2 linked regions of the Notamacropus eugenii genome follow. The protein of the gene in region 1 interacts with the protein of each later gene in a pairwise test. Links are inferred from orthologs where the notes say so. Each region holds a gene or a part of one and is shown in the gene's direction. Other genes may lie near its edges.

Region 1 (7,005 bases):
AAGCTAGATAGTACATTATATGGAATGCTGGTCCTGGAGCCAGAAAGACCTGAGTTCAAATCCAGTCTCAGATACTTACTAGTTGTATGACCATGGACAAAACATTTAACCTTTCAGTTTCCTCAGTGGTAAAATAGAGATAATAATAGAACCAACCTCACAGATTTGTTGTGAAGATCAAGTGAGATAGTATTTATAAAATTAAAAAAAAACTCTTAAGAGAGTGCCTAGCATACAGGAAACACTATATAAATGCTTATTCTCTTTCCCTTCATGTGGTGAATGGGACATATAGGAGAAATGTTAGGAAAGTAAAATTGGTAGTGAGAGGATGAAGAGTCAAGGATGACACCTAGATTTTGAGTCAGGCTGACTAGTAGGATGACAGCAATAGGAAAGTTAGGGAGAGGGCATGGGAGAAGATTATGAGTTCAATTTAAGATGTCCACAGGACATCTAATTCTAGATGTTCAGTAGGCAATTGGAGAAGTTAGACTTGAGGTCAAGAGAGAGATTAGGACTGAACAAACAGATCTGAGCATCTTCACCATGGAGATGAAAACTGAATCCTTAGGAATTGATGAGATTACCAGGTGAAAATGTAGAAATGGAGAATAGCCCTAGGGGTAATCTGCTGTTGGTAGGCATGACCTGGTTGAAGATCAATTATAGTACTTGGCACACAGTAAGCCCTTAATAAATGTTTATTCATTCACTCATCAGTGGGGACTCAAGAGCTATGGTTTTGAATGAGTATTGATCTACAAAGTACCTCAGACCTGGGGTAGTTTTGGGGAGTCCATGATATTTGATTCTCAATGCAACACATGAAGTAGGTATCTCCTCCATTTTCTAGTGAAGAAACCTGAGGCTCAGATAGATGACATGATTAATTAATAGTATAGATGACATGATTTATCAATAGTTATGGAGCTGGTAAATATCAGAGGGGGGAATAAAATCTGCCTCTCCTAATTCTCATTCCTCTTCAGACTGTACTCCAGATTTCTTCTACTATTCTAAAACCTCACCATATCCCAGTTCTTCATCCATGAATCTTCACTGTAGCCTTGGAATTCACATATTGGAAGTACCCTCTACTCCTGTGGCTTCTTCCTCCTCTCATTGGATGGCTCCTCTTAGAACCTCTATTTAAGGAAGGCACTCAGGCCACTGATGTCTCATTCCTCTCTAGGTTTTGCTTAGGACTTTCTCTACTATGCCTCCCTCATGAGGTACCTTTTTCTCCTTCCAGCCCCTTTTCAACTTCCTTTTATGCATTGTCTTCTCTCATCAGAATGTAAGCTCCTTGAGGGTAAACGCTGCCTTTCTTTCTATTTCTATTCTCAGCACTTAGCACCGTGGTTGGCACATAATAAGTATTTAATAAATGGTAGTGGATTGACTGATACCAAGTCTAGTCTTCTCACTACACTAAATTGATTCCCTAGAAAGGCAAATATGTCTTGATAAGATCATTCAGATATTATTTGATGTTGCATTCTACCAGGGTGATGTTTCTGATATTCTTCTCCATCCCTGTAGGGACATATTTGGAAACTCCAGATGTCATATTCTAAATATTGCAGCCAGATGAATCTTTTAAAATCATGCCATGCTTCTGGACCAAAGAGAATGCAACACTTCTTTATATGAATAGAGTGCCATGCACATATCCATGAACACTGATTTTGATCATGATTAATTTCTATCTCTTGCTCAAAAACTTCTTATGGCTAATTGATACCTATAGGACAGGATTCAAGCTCCTAAACCTGGCATTCTGGATGTCACTATCTGAACCTTTCCAACCTTATCTACTAAGAGTCTTCCTTCTTGAACACTGAAATCTAGCTAAACCTTGGTATCTACAGAACTTCTAGTTTACCTTATTGATCCTTGTCTCAGCATGAGGTAGTTAGGCCACTACCATTCTCCAACATGAGTAAAGTGGTACATGGAAGGAAAGGAAGATCAGATACATTCATGCTGTTTATCCCCCCTAAAATGACCTTTCTCTTCCTCTCCATCCAGCTAAATCCTTTCCATTTTTCAGGCTTCAGCTTAAATCCTATCTTCTTTGTGAAGTCTTTCCTATACACAAGTGAACTTTCTTTCCCCTGAATTTTGTATACTTTTTAAATCCATACCACTTATTTGCTGAGACCTAATCACCCATTGCTTCCTTTTATTATTTCTTCCTGTGTCTAAGATCCTATTTTTTTTGACTGCCTTATATTGAACTTGTAAAGGTCGAAAACAGAGATGTCAAAAACATGGCCCATAGTATTCCTGGGTGCAGCTAAGCCAAATTAAAATGTAATTGGAAAATATTTAGCAAAATAAATAAAAATACAACAGACAACAACTAAGTCAATATGTGGTTGAGGAGATTCTTATGTATGGTTTAGTGACTGCCATTTTTTTTTTGAGTTGGACACCATTGCTTTAAAACCTTCAAATCTTTTTATATCGTTACAGCCAATGTTTTCTACTCATTCTTGTTATATTTTCCTTAATTGGAGTCAGCCCATTACTCTATCTTATTGAAACCTTTTTGATTTTTTTTTTGTCTTTTGACATGTTGGTTGTTGCTTTCTTTGACATGTCACCTGCAAATTTTACAAACATGTTATCTATACCTTCCTCCATGTCATTGATTAGAATGTTGAACAGCACAAAGCCAAGGACAGATTCCTTAGGATCTTCATTTGAGATCTCCCTCCAAGGTGGCATAGACATCCCCATCAATACTTTTGGGATCTGGTCAACTAGGTCTGAAATCACCTAACTGCCTTATCACTTGATCCATGTCTTTATGTGCTCCACTGCCTATAAGCGCACTTAAATGTTTGTTGAAGGAACAAATAAACAACCCCTAGGATGAGTATTCTGTTAGCCTAGGAGCTTAAGGAGAGGTCAAAGACATCTGGGGTAGTGACAGACCCACTGCAATGGCATTAGGAAATTGATGAGAATTCAGATGCCTGAATTTTGTTTAGGTTACTTTGATTGTAGGGTTGCTACTACCTATGCTCCCATTTTTTCCATTCTACCTTCTTCTGCCCATCTTGCCATTATCTTGTCACTATTTCCTTTTTCTACCTGGAACAGCACACTCTTTGGAAAAGAGACCAAATGTCCTTTTTAGGTGAGTTAACCCATTCAGCTTTGGAGCTCCATCCTGGGGTTCAGCTCTTGGTTTTCAAGTAACTACATCTAGCAGTCTCAAATTCACCCAAATCAGACATCTTGGAACATTTTGCCATTTCTTTTCCTGGGAATAGTGATCAAATCAGTACTATCAGTGCTTCTAGGAAAAGACAGGGCCATCCATTACTCATCATTCTTTATCTTTTCAAAATTTTTTTATTTATTTCCTTTCATAGTTCCCAATTACATTAAAATTTTTAAACATTCATTTTAAAAAATTTTGAATTCCAAATCCTCTTCTTCCCTTTGGTCCCTCCCTCACCCTCTGAGAAGGCAAGCAATATAGCAATTATACATGTGAAGTCATGCAAAACATATTTCCGTGTTAGCCATACTGCAAAAGAAAATACACACACACACACACAAATTAAGTGAAAAAATCTGCTTCAATCTGCACTCAGAATTCTTCAGTTCTCTCTAAGGAGATGGATAGCATTTTTCATCATGAGTCCTTTGGAAACCACTCTTTATTCTTGTGGCTTCTCAGACAAAAACTTCCTTCTTTGGTTATGACTCTCCTATATGTGTTGCTCCACACTGTTATAAAATAAGCTATTTGAGGACAGAAGCAGTTTTACTTTTGTATTTGAATCACTAGTACCTAAAGATGGGTATTAGGCTCTAGTGAACTACCAAGTAAGGAAGGTGAGGAAAGTCCCTCTACTAATGCAGGTCAACACCTCTTCTGCAATTTACTGTCTTAGGCTCTTTGTGATGCTCTTTGGAGTTTTCTTGGCAAAGACACTGGCCTGATTTGCCATTGCCTCCTCCAGCTGAATTTACAGATGAGGGTAAAAGCAAACAGGGTTATGTGACTTGCCCAAGGTCACACAACTAGTAAGTGTAGGAGGCCAGATTGAACTCAGGAAGATTTCTCCTGACTCCAGGCTGGGCACTCTATCACTGCCCCACCTTCCACTACTCTAACCAGTAGGCTATAGCTGGCACATTGCTGGTCTTAATATCAAGTTGTTGTTGTTTTCATTCAGTTAGTCATTCTTTTCCTCGAAATTTCCTCCCACTCTACTCCACCTCACACGCCTATGTTTTTACCCTTCCCAAAATTTGGAAGCTGGGGGATTCCCTTTTATTTTCCATACCATACTCTTCATATTCTTTCATCCTTAAATTCTATATCCTCGTTCTCTCATCCAAGCTCTTCTCTTCCAAGGTTCAGAGCTGGGATTTAGTAAAAGCAGAAACCAAACTTTCGGCAAGCCTGGGGCCCCCACCACCGAAGTTGGGGAAGCTCAAGGGGGGTGCTGGAGGTGCTTAGAGAGCTCGGAAATCTCACAGAAATCACGGTCCTGGAGAAGGAAGCAGTCTCCTTGCTGACCCCCATCCCCTTCTTCTCACAACTCCTCTCCCAGCTCTCGTTTCATGCCTCTCTGACTGAAGGGCCAGGCCCGGGTGTCCCCAGGGGAGTAGACCGTGCAGACAGCGCCGGAGAAACGGAGGGAGAGAAGAGGAGGAGGAGCCCCGCGTGGCTGGAGCCCCCCCCCTCCCCGCCCCCGGCTTCCCACTCCCCGAGCTCTGGCGGGCGTGGAGAGGAAGCAACGGGGGTAGCAGAGCTCGTAGGGAGGATCGATGCTGGGCAGGGGGCAGCGGGGTGCCCCGGCCGCCTGGGGCGAGCGCCCTGAGCAACTGAGGGGCAGCGGCAGAAGCAACAGCGGGGGTCAGAGCCCTGGTAAGAGACCTCCACAGCCACCCAGGACAGCACTTCGAGCAGGGTCCCTCCAGCTTCTCCCACTCCTCTCCCCTCCCCTGGACGGGCAAGGGTGGGGTGGGGGTCGGGCTGGAGCTTTCACCACGGTTCTTCGGAGAGGGATTCGAGCGGAGCGGGGAACTGAAACCGCCTAGCAGTTTGGGGGCTGGGTGGGTGTGGAGAAGTAACTGACATCCAGGAAGTGGCAAAGGTAACAATGGCAACTTCTACCGCCCCGTTACAGCGGGGAGAAACTGAGGCACAGAGCGTGCGGGGGCCGTGCCTAGAGACAAACAGGGTCACGGCTGGGAGTGCGCGCCTGTCCCTCTGCGGGTGCCCAGCACCGAAGCTCCTTTCCCTAACGAGTACGCGCTTATTTTCTTATTTGGTTTAAGAACCAGAGAAGGAGGGCACTCTGCCTGCGCGCTGGTAGGCGTTTTGTAAGTCAGCGTGGTTTGGGATCGGGGCTGGACCGAGTCCCAGCCTGCAGCGCTCCCAGTCCGCGGGTGGGTGTGTGGCTTTTCGTGTTAACCCGGGAACTGCTTCGCTTTGTTTTCGTTTAGATCAATTGCAGGAAACTGACTGGACAAGAGCCCTTCTCTGTGCATTGACCCCCTCCCTAACTTCCCTGTGTTGGCGGCCGCTGACGTGGGGGCAGGGCACGCTGGACTTAAGAGCACGGTAGTGCTAGGAAGGAGGTGGGAGGTTCCCCAACTTCTGTCGGATCAGCAAGAGCAGTTCTTAACCATGCTTCGATTTCTGGGGCCCCATCCCTACCGACTAGTCATGACGTGAGGCTCGGGAAATGAGGAGAATGGAAGAGGGAAGGTTAGAAAGGAGGTGATGAGAAGATTGAGAGAATGTAGTCCCGCTACCGACCCCAGACCCGGGCAACGTAAACAGTTTCATGGGGTGCCACATCTGATTTAACAGCACTACATACCGCTTACCAAGGTTCGCTGCAGGGGTCCCCGACAGGTGGTAAGAATAAACTCTTAGCGGCAGTGCTGATACTAGATTCATTAAAGGTAGACTATTCTGAAGAATTCAATTAACTCAATTCATTTCCTTCTGAAAGTGTCTGCAAAGGAATTCAAAAGTTTCATATGATGCTAAAGTGGGTTATGGTTATACTACCCTACAACAAACCCTCCGTCTTGACTCAGAGTTTTCTCTGGCTTTTCTACAGGCCTGGAATGCCCCCACTCCTCACCTCTGGCTTCCCTGGTTTCTTTTGAGTCCCACCTTGTGCAAGAAGCCTTTTCCAATTCTCCCCAAACTTAGGGAATTTCTACTGAGACTATTCCCAATTTATCCTATATTTATATATATTTTTTCATATGTATATATATATCTATCTCATGTTTGCACACTGTTTTATGCATGTTGTCTCACCCATCAGATTGTGAGTTTCTTGAGAGCAGGGACTGATTTTTGCCTTTCTTTTTATCCCCAGAGCTTAGTACAATGCCTGGCACATAAAAGAGCTTAATAAATGCTAGTTGACTGACATTCGAAAAAATAAATAGTGCAAGGCCAGTTCAATTTATTGAAAAGCCTAGATGATGGAATGTTGGAAATAACAATCATTTTAAGGTTCACAAAGCACTTTACATACATTTTCTCATTTGATCCTCACAACAATCCTGTGGGATTATTATTCTCATTTTATTGATGAGGACCTTGAGATTCAGAGAAGTTTGCTGACTTGGTAGGATTTCAATTCAGAACAGCTCACTTGTCCAGTTATTCCTCTAAACTAAGAGATGCTTGAATATTAGGCATCTAAAGCAACTGAGGAACCCAGTCTTAGTGATTAATATAGATTCTTCAAAGAAAAGAAACTGCAACATATCACAGAATGCTCTAAAAACCTAGCACTTAGTAAATATTTTAGAAACCGATAGGGCAGAAAGGCATTACAGATATGACTGTGCTTGTCACAGAGAGGAAATGACAGTTCCTGGTTTGGTTTGGAGAAGCAACTCAATAAAAATATTTAGAAATGAAAGGAGCAAGTTAATTGTAATCTTACAAGTTGTTTTTCCCCCAGTATGCTTGAAATGATCTTGTTGACTCTTTTTGTT
Region 2 (7,575 bases), about 43 Mb from region 1:
CTGCTAGTTCTCTCTCTCCTTCCCTGGAGGGTACCACTGTCTGCCTCTGGCAGCGTTGCTCGCCTAGGGGGGTGACTTTCTAGATGGAGGCGCCTCTCAGCGTTCTCCCTGGCCCTCAGCAGGAGACCTTGACCCCATCTTTTCCTCTCTTTAGCTGCCTCCTTCTCTCTTTCTCTCTGGATGCTCGCCCTCAACTCCTTCTCCCTCCTTAGGCTTCTCCTCTCGGCTCTCTCTGTGTCCCTCTGGATGGAGCCCCTCAGCTCTCGCTCTCTCCGTAGGAACCTCCTCTCGGCCCTCTCTCTGTCCCTCTGGATGGAGCCCCTCAGCTCTCTCTCCCTCGCTGTATACCTCCCCTCTGCCACGTGCGTTTGCCTCTGGATGGCCGCCCTCAGACCCTGCTCTCTCTGGATCTGCCTCCTCTCCGACCTCTCCCTCTCCCGGATTAGGTCCCTCAGGTCGATCTCTCTGGACTGCCGGCTTTCGATCTGCTCCCTGTCCCTCTGGACGCTCCCCCTCGACTCCCTGACCCTCACCCTCCTTAGCTGCCGGCCCTCCTCGCGCTCCCTGTCCTCCTGGACGGCGCTTCTCGGCACCCTCTCCCTGACCCTGGCGAGCCCGTCCCCGTCCCTCTCCCGTTCTTCGTTGAGGATGGCCCTGAGGTCCCTCTCTCTGACCGGGGCCCTGTCGTCGGGGCGCTCCCTGTCCTCCTGGACTGCGCTTCTCAGCACCCTCTCCCTGGCCCTGGCGAGCCGGTCCTCGTCTTCGCAGAGGAAGGCCCGGAGGTTCCTGTCTCTGCCGGGGGGCTCCCTGTCTCCCTGGAGGAACCTGACCTCTCTGAGCCTGTCGTCGCTTCTCCCCCAGTCCTCCTGGACTAAGCTGCTCAGCTCTCTGTCTCGTCTGAGGTACCTCGGCTCGACCCTCTCCCTCACTATCGGGACGTCCTCCCGTAGGTTCCTCGGTCGCGCAGGGTACCTGGCTTCGGCCCTCTCCCTCCCCACGGGGGCTTCGGCCCACAGTTCCCTGCCTCTTCTGGAGCACAGCCGCTGAGCGCTCTCTCGCTCCTGGATGGCACACCTGAGATCCCTCTCCCTCCAGTAATGCCTCTCCTCCAATCTCGGCCTCTCCTCCTGGACAGCCCCGCAGATGGTCCTCTCTAGTCCCTGACGCCTCTGCTGTAACCTCGCTCTATCTTCCTGGATGATCCCCCTCAGCGATCTCTCCCTCTCCTTGGATAGCTGCCCCCCCAGCTCTCTCCCTAGAGGTTCCCTCTCCTCAGCTCGGCCCTGTCTCCCTCGACGCCCCCTTCCCTTGGCTCGCTCTCTCCCCCTCGAACTGGACCGGTCAGGCGCGCACGCGCCGGCGCGCGCCCTGGAAAGAGCGGGGCGGGGCGGGGCAGGGCAGGTCGGTTCGGCTCGGTCCTCGCGGGGTTCCTGTCACCGGACACGCCGTTTTCACTCTCCTCCTTTGGCTTTCCTGACCGGCTGTCAGTTTGAATTACCAACGTCGCGCTCCTATTGGGGGGAAGCCTGGACACGCCTTCTTCCCCCATTGGAAGATTCTGGACACGCCTCCAAGTGAAAGTCTGAGTGGAGGAGAACCTTGCCTAGCCCGCCCCGGCAACCGTATCTGTTCGGTTCTGCTTGTCAGTTGGAAGAATTTGGCTACGCCTCCGATTTTGATTGGTGAACTTCAAGGAGGTTTAGGCAAGTCTTCGCTTTCGCCCCAGTGAAAGGGAGAGAGGACGCCCTTCGAGCTTCCAATTGGAAGACATTAGACATTCCCCTCAGATTCTTATTCTCTATTGGACAAAATTCCCCGCAACGCCTCGCCCCCTTGACACGATCCAATTGGTTCTGTCTACCCTTTCGAGTTCGCGTGTGGTTGCTGAGCGTCTTGTTCCCACCTCCCTAGTGTTTTTTTTTAACTTTAGTTGGAGGTCTCGAGGGGTGGGGCTCACTCCAAGACTCCGCCCATGCACGATAGGCCACGCCCTTTGATTTTCCAGCCCAACCTTGCTCTTGGGTAGGTGTGGAGGGGCGGGATCAGTCTTCTTTAATGGCTCCAGCGTCCGTCAGTCGAGAGACGGCGGACAATGATTGGCAATCCGGTGGGATTCCTCTCCGAGATCCGTCCGGGGAGCCGGCGGAGGCTCGCCTAGGGGGTGGGGGAGGGAAGCGAACCGCAAAGTAGCGGGTGGATGGGCGGGAAGTGAGAAGGGAAAGCGTTCCCGGGGCCGGGGGACCCAGCCGCGCCGGAGCCAGGTAAAGGCTCCTTCCTTCTCCCTTTTCTCCCTCCTGGAGAGAATCGCAGACTGGGGCGCGAAGGAGAGCGCGGCGTCCGCTGCCTGCTTGGCTTCTCCGCCATCCCGTTGCCCGCCGGCCGGCGGTCCAGGCTCCGGGAGACCCTTCCCAGATCCCTTGTGCACCGCCCTCGTCTTCTCCCGGCCGGCGTCCGGCGTGGCGCCCCCAGCGCGGCCCCCAGACCCCTCTTTGGACGTCCGCCCGCACCTGACAACCCCCCTTCATCAGAACGGCCCCGGCCCTTTCCCGGGAGGCAGCGCTGACTAATTACTCACTGCCTCCGGAGCCCGGCAGGCGGCACCGTCCGTCCGTCCTCCCGCGCTGGGCGCACGCCCGGGGCCGGCCGCCTCGTACCTCGCTCTCCCCAGCGTGCTCCCGGGAATTGCGCTTCCCTCCCTCGGACCAGCCCCCCGGCCTGGCCGGCCTTCCGGGGTCGGGCAGCCCTTCCCCGAGGAGCGCGCCCCTCCCGGGGGATCAGCCGAGAGCTTGCTCCCCCCGGCCAAGTGGAGTAGCCCACCTCGTTCCCCTCCGTTCCCCCCCCTTCCTGCTCCCGGGAGCCACGCCGGCCCTCCTCCCTCCTCGCTTCCCTCCTCCCTTCCTCCCGCTGCCCTTCCCTTCGACCGCGGGAAGGGGGAGACACAGGCGGGCTCCTCCGGCGCAGCGCAGCGGAGAGGGCAGGCGGGAGGGAAGGAAGCCGAGGGGCGTCCGAGGGTCTGCCCGCCCCTCAGCCCGCTATGCGCCCCGGCTCGTCTCTCTGTCGGGCACCTTTAGGGGGTGAGAAGCCGGGCCTGGAGAATGCGCCCCCGGGGTTAGAGGGCTCCGGGATCTGGAGTTGGGCGGCGGGGATGTGACTGAGAGTGCGGGTGGAGGAGGGGTCTCCCCTCTCGCGCGGGGCCGATCCCCGCAGGGCCGGCTGGGCTGGGCTGGAGCGGGGTGGCTGGGGGAAGGCAGGGCTGCCCTCCCGCGCTTAGCTGATGGTGTCCTGGCGGGGCTCTGCGGCCCCGTTTCCTGCCTCTGCCGGCCACATTTTTCCTCTGGATGTGGCTCGTACAGAGTAGGGTCCCCCCCCTTTCCCTGCAGACCTCGCCCTCCTCCTGGCATCCCCCCGCCTTTTACATTTGCTGCCAAGGGAAGCTAGTAACCAAAAACAAAACAACGAGGAGGAGGAAGGGGAGGAAAAGTTGTGCGCTAGTAGCTCGTCCCCGCTGGGAACTGCATCCGCACCCCCTCCCCCTGCCCTGGCCTTTTGATCGCCCTTTGATGTCTAGGGGAGATACTGGGGTTGGGGCGGGGTCCGATGGCCGCCTTCTAGGTCCAGGAAGGCTTTGGCTTTGGCTGGGGCTGGGCACGGCTCAGGTCGGGCAGGATTGGGGGCGGGTGGGGTGGGTGGCTGCGGCTGAGTCCCCGCAGCCCTCCCTCCCCTGGCTCCGAGCGAGCCGAGGCTTTGAAGGGATTTTGTCTCTTTAAATTCAGAGGGAGCTTGACCTTGCCGCACCTCCCTCCACCCCTCTGCTGCCCACCCTCCTGGGGTGGGGGTGAATGGGGCTTGGACTCCGCAGCCCCTAGTTTGGGAAGACGTCGCCTCCCCCGCCCCCGCCTGCGTATCTGTATCTGCACTCCCGCTGATACCCCCTTTTCCATCCTCTCCCCCACCCCCTTTTCCTGCATTTACAGGCAAGTGAACCGAAGAAAACGACTTCCGATCCTGCATTGCTGCAGCTCCCATTTGGGATCTGATTTGCATCATCTCAGGAGCCCGTAAGACCAAACCAAACCAAAAAAGAAGCAAGCCTGGGATCAGCCCTCCACGCACACACACAGACACACATAACACACACACGCACACACATACACACGCACACACACACGGACACACGCCCAGACGCACCCCCACACCCTCGCCCCGACACTGACTGTCAGGCGCACACGGATCCCCACACCCCCACACCATGGTGCTGTGCGGAAGGACTTCCACTCCCTGCCTGTGCCGTTGATGTCAGTCCCCAGGACAGCCTCCCGGCGCTGCGGCTCGGCTGGCTGATGCTGATGCTGCGGCTCGGGGCTCGGCACTAGGACACCGACGCCGCTGCTCCGCCGCTGCTCCGCCCCGGCCCCGGCCCCCGCCACCGCCAACATCTGCATGTTCCCGCCGCGCTGGCCGCTCGCTGCCTCCCCAGCCGGCAGCCTTGCTACGGACTGAGGCTCCCCGGAGCGCTGGCTTCTGCCGGGAGACCCAGCCGCCCTCGGAAGAGGAGATCTCGGGGATTTTAACTGGAGTGGGCCGGGTTTTTTTTCGGGTGGATCTATCCATTCGGGAGCTGAATTAGGAAAGAAACATGACGTCTCCGGCTAAATTCAAAAAGGATAAGGAGATCATAGCAGAATACGATACTCAGGTCAAAGGTAGGTGGTCTTTGAAAATTGCTGTATACGCCTATTCATATGTACTTGTATATACACACGTATATGTACACACACACACACACATATATACATGTTTAAATATAGTCTATTGTGGCTCGTCGGGAAGGTTTCATTTCCCTGGATAGAGCAGGTGGGGGAGTTTTTATTCAGAGAAGACTGTCGGGTGAGGGGGATGAGGGTGTGTACCACCCTAGGATGGCAGGGCTAGGGGCCACAGGCACTAATGGAAATTTTCCAGAGCTTTCAGGTCTGCCCTAGGGACCAGGCCATCACTGTAAGTGCCCCCTTACCTTGCCTAGACTGGGGGGTGGGGGGGCACGTGGTTCTTGAAAGGATAAAAGGGGTAATCTGCTTTTGAGTTTGGGTCTTCGGAATGATTGAAATCTGACAGGTGTTTGGAGATGCATTTCACAGCCTGAAGACTAATCTGGGCTGGAAAAGGCAACCTAGAGAAGGTGTTTTATTTGGAAAGCTCCTGCAGAGGTTGGGTTTATAAGGGTGGTTTTTTTCTTAGTGTTTTTTTTCCTACTGCAGCTATTTTAAACTGTAAGACTTGCTATGGTATTACAAAACAGTCCAGGAACATCAGCTGCTAGGCATACCTGCCCAGCTACATCTAGGATCAGCCTGCTATGTGGAGAGTAGAAATCAAGGCACCCAACCTCCATCCTTTCACCCTCCACCCTGAATTTGTATGTGGTGACATGGGTTTTGAACTGAATTTTGATTCCCCAGGGTTGTGGTTCTGGAAAAGGAAAAGAAAGATCTGTGTTTAACCCTTTGTTCTTTTCCTTCTTTATTTTGAAGCCTTGAATTATTTCCCTGCAAAACAGGAATGAAAAGGTAAACTTGTAGAGGCAACTGACCAGTTCTCAGCTCTCCTAGGTCCACTGATAGACTTGACTAGTGAATCCCCCATTCCTAGAGCTCCTTCCCAAATTCCTTATTGCCCTTCCTTCCCTGGATTCCTGCCTGTTAATGAGGAACACACAACCAACATTTGTGTGGCTACCCAACCTGGCTAGCTAATCAGTCACTGGAGATAGCCCTGTGCCTCAGTCTAGTGAGATATCAGCTGGGGGATGGGAAATAGGCCTTGAATGTTATAACACATGGCTGGAAATCTAGGTTTTCCTTTGTTTCAGGGTAGAGGGAAGTGTCCCCTCCTCCTCTCCCTGTATCTATGTTAGGAAACCTTTTTTATAACATCGAGGACTTAGGGAGAGCTTTGTAACCCTTCCTCCAACCAATGCTTGGGAGGCTTTAAAATGGGAAGCCAGTTGCTTCCTTCTGCTTGGAGAGGCTTAATCTGCAGTTCCCACCATGCTGGGATCTCTTTATCTCCTCAGTTAGCTCCCCTCCAGAGTGTGCTCTGAAGGGTCTCTCTCATCAATTGACTGAAAGCCCCAGTAGGTTTAGAGCAGGGATAGGGAGCTAACTCAATTCTAGATCCAGTTGTGCTGGGCTGGGAGGGGTGTGGCTTCGAGTTAGAATTGAGTGAGGTCTTGGCCTCTTGTCCTGGTTGATAAGCCCTGACTCTTTTTGCAAACAATAGGCCACTGGCCTTTTGTGTCCTGTCCAGATTGGCTGCGTTCTGCTGGTTGGAATCCCCCCTCTCATTATAACTAGGTCTGTGCCTCTCCTTCACATCCTGTTCAGAACTGTTTCCATAGAGTTAATAACTTCCACTTTTCCAGGTTCTCTTCAGAGTCACCCCATTTGACCAACGGTACAAAGTGATTTTACACATATATTTTTAGGAAGTTTTGGGACTGAAAGGTGTTGTTAATAGAATCATCTTAGCCACTGATCCAGCTGGTAAAGGAATGCTGGAAATTCTCCTGTGTGCTCAGAGAATTAAACACTCGCATATTTACAAACACTGCTCTCTGAGATGATGTAATGCAGTTGGATCTTTGAGGTTTCTCTTTAACCTTGCCACAGACAGCAGAGTTTTCTTTCGCTCCAGTCTTTTCCCATTGACATTGTGTAGACTCAAAGAATCTTGGAACTAGAAGGAACCAGAGAAATGATGGTCTAACACTCTTATTTTGCAGATCAGGAAACTGGCCCAGAGACTTAAAGGATTTACCCAAGGTCACACAGCCAGTTAAGGGCAGAACTGGGATAAGAACCCAGGTCTTTAGACTTTCCGTCCAGCTCTCTTTTCACTATCAAACACTGCCTTTGTTCTGCTAGGTACTAGGAATTTAAAAAAAAAAAAACCACAGTCTCTACCTTCAACGAGTTTACAATAGTTGTAGAATACAGAGTTAGTCCTTATTCTACTTGGGTCTTGCTTCGGAGTCATCTGAATGAATTTTAAATCTGAGGATAAAGACGAACTTTTTGAGACCCTCTCTACCTTCTTTGTGGGTTTTTTTTTCCCCTTCCCTTCCTACTCTTGTAGCCACGTGGGGAGGTATAGCACTTTTGAGACTGTAAGGCCCAACCTCATCAATCCCTTTGTGGTTTTGCTGGGGGCTGCCCTCTGAGACAGCCTAACTTGTCTCCTTCCTGAAGACAAGAGCACTGTTTCTTAGCTTGTGGGGATTCAGATTCCTTTAGTAAAGTTCAGGCTTTGGGTGTCTGGTCAGATTCCACAGCCATGCCTCTGGGGCCCCTTGGTTCCTAGGGTATTAGTGCCTTTGCTGAGATTTGAGCTGATACAATGCTGAGGTGTAGGTAACGTCACCAAGGATGGAAGGGTAATATTTGGGTGAGTTAATGTAACTTCATATAATCTAGGCTATTGTCATTTCTTTGCAGAGACCTCCCTGCCCTGTATGTACCCCATTCCTCCCCCACTCACTTATTTATATTCTTAAGGTTTTTATAGTCTCCCAGAAAG

What was found. The genes of interacting proteins can lie anywhere in the genome.
Region 2: the proteins of DISC1 (region 1) and SRGAP2 interact in a two-hybrid assay, tested with the Homo sapiens proteins (2 studies listed by BioGRID and IntAct). The link is inferred for Notamacropus eugenii from reciprocal best matches to the Homo sapiens genes DISC1 and SRGAP2.

What each region holds. Positions count from the first base shown.
Region 1 is NC_092873.1:390,009,366-390,016,370, forward strand, and holds the start of DISC1 (disrupted in schizophrenia 1 protein), read left to right. Parts: upstream 1-4,003; 5' UTR 4,004-4,800; coding exon 4,801-4,900; intron 4,901-7,005. UniProt on the Homo sapiens protein: Involved in the regulation of multiple aspects of embryonic and adult neurogenesis. Required for neural progenitor proliferation in the ventrical/subventrical zone during embryonic brain development and in the adult dentate gyrus of the hippocampus.
Region 2 is NC_092873.1:433,185,396-433,192,970, reverse strand, and holds the start of SRGAP2 (SLIT-ROBO Rho GTPase-activating protein 2), read left to right. Parts: upstream 1-4,563; 5' UTR 4,564-4,636; coding exon 4,637-4,703; intron 4,704-7,575. UniProt on the Homo sapiens protein: Postsynaptic RAC1 GTPase activating protein (GAP) that plays a key role in neuronal morphogenesis and migration mainly during development of the cerebral cortex. Regulates excitatory and inhibitory synapse maturation and density in cortical pyramidal neurons.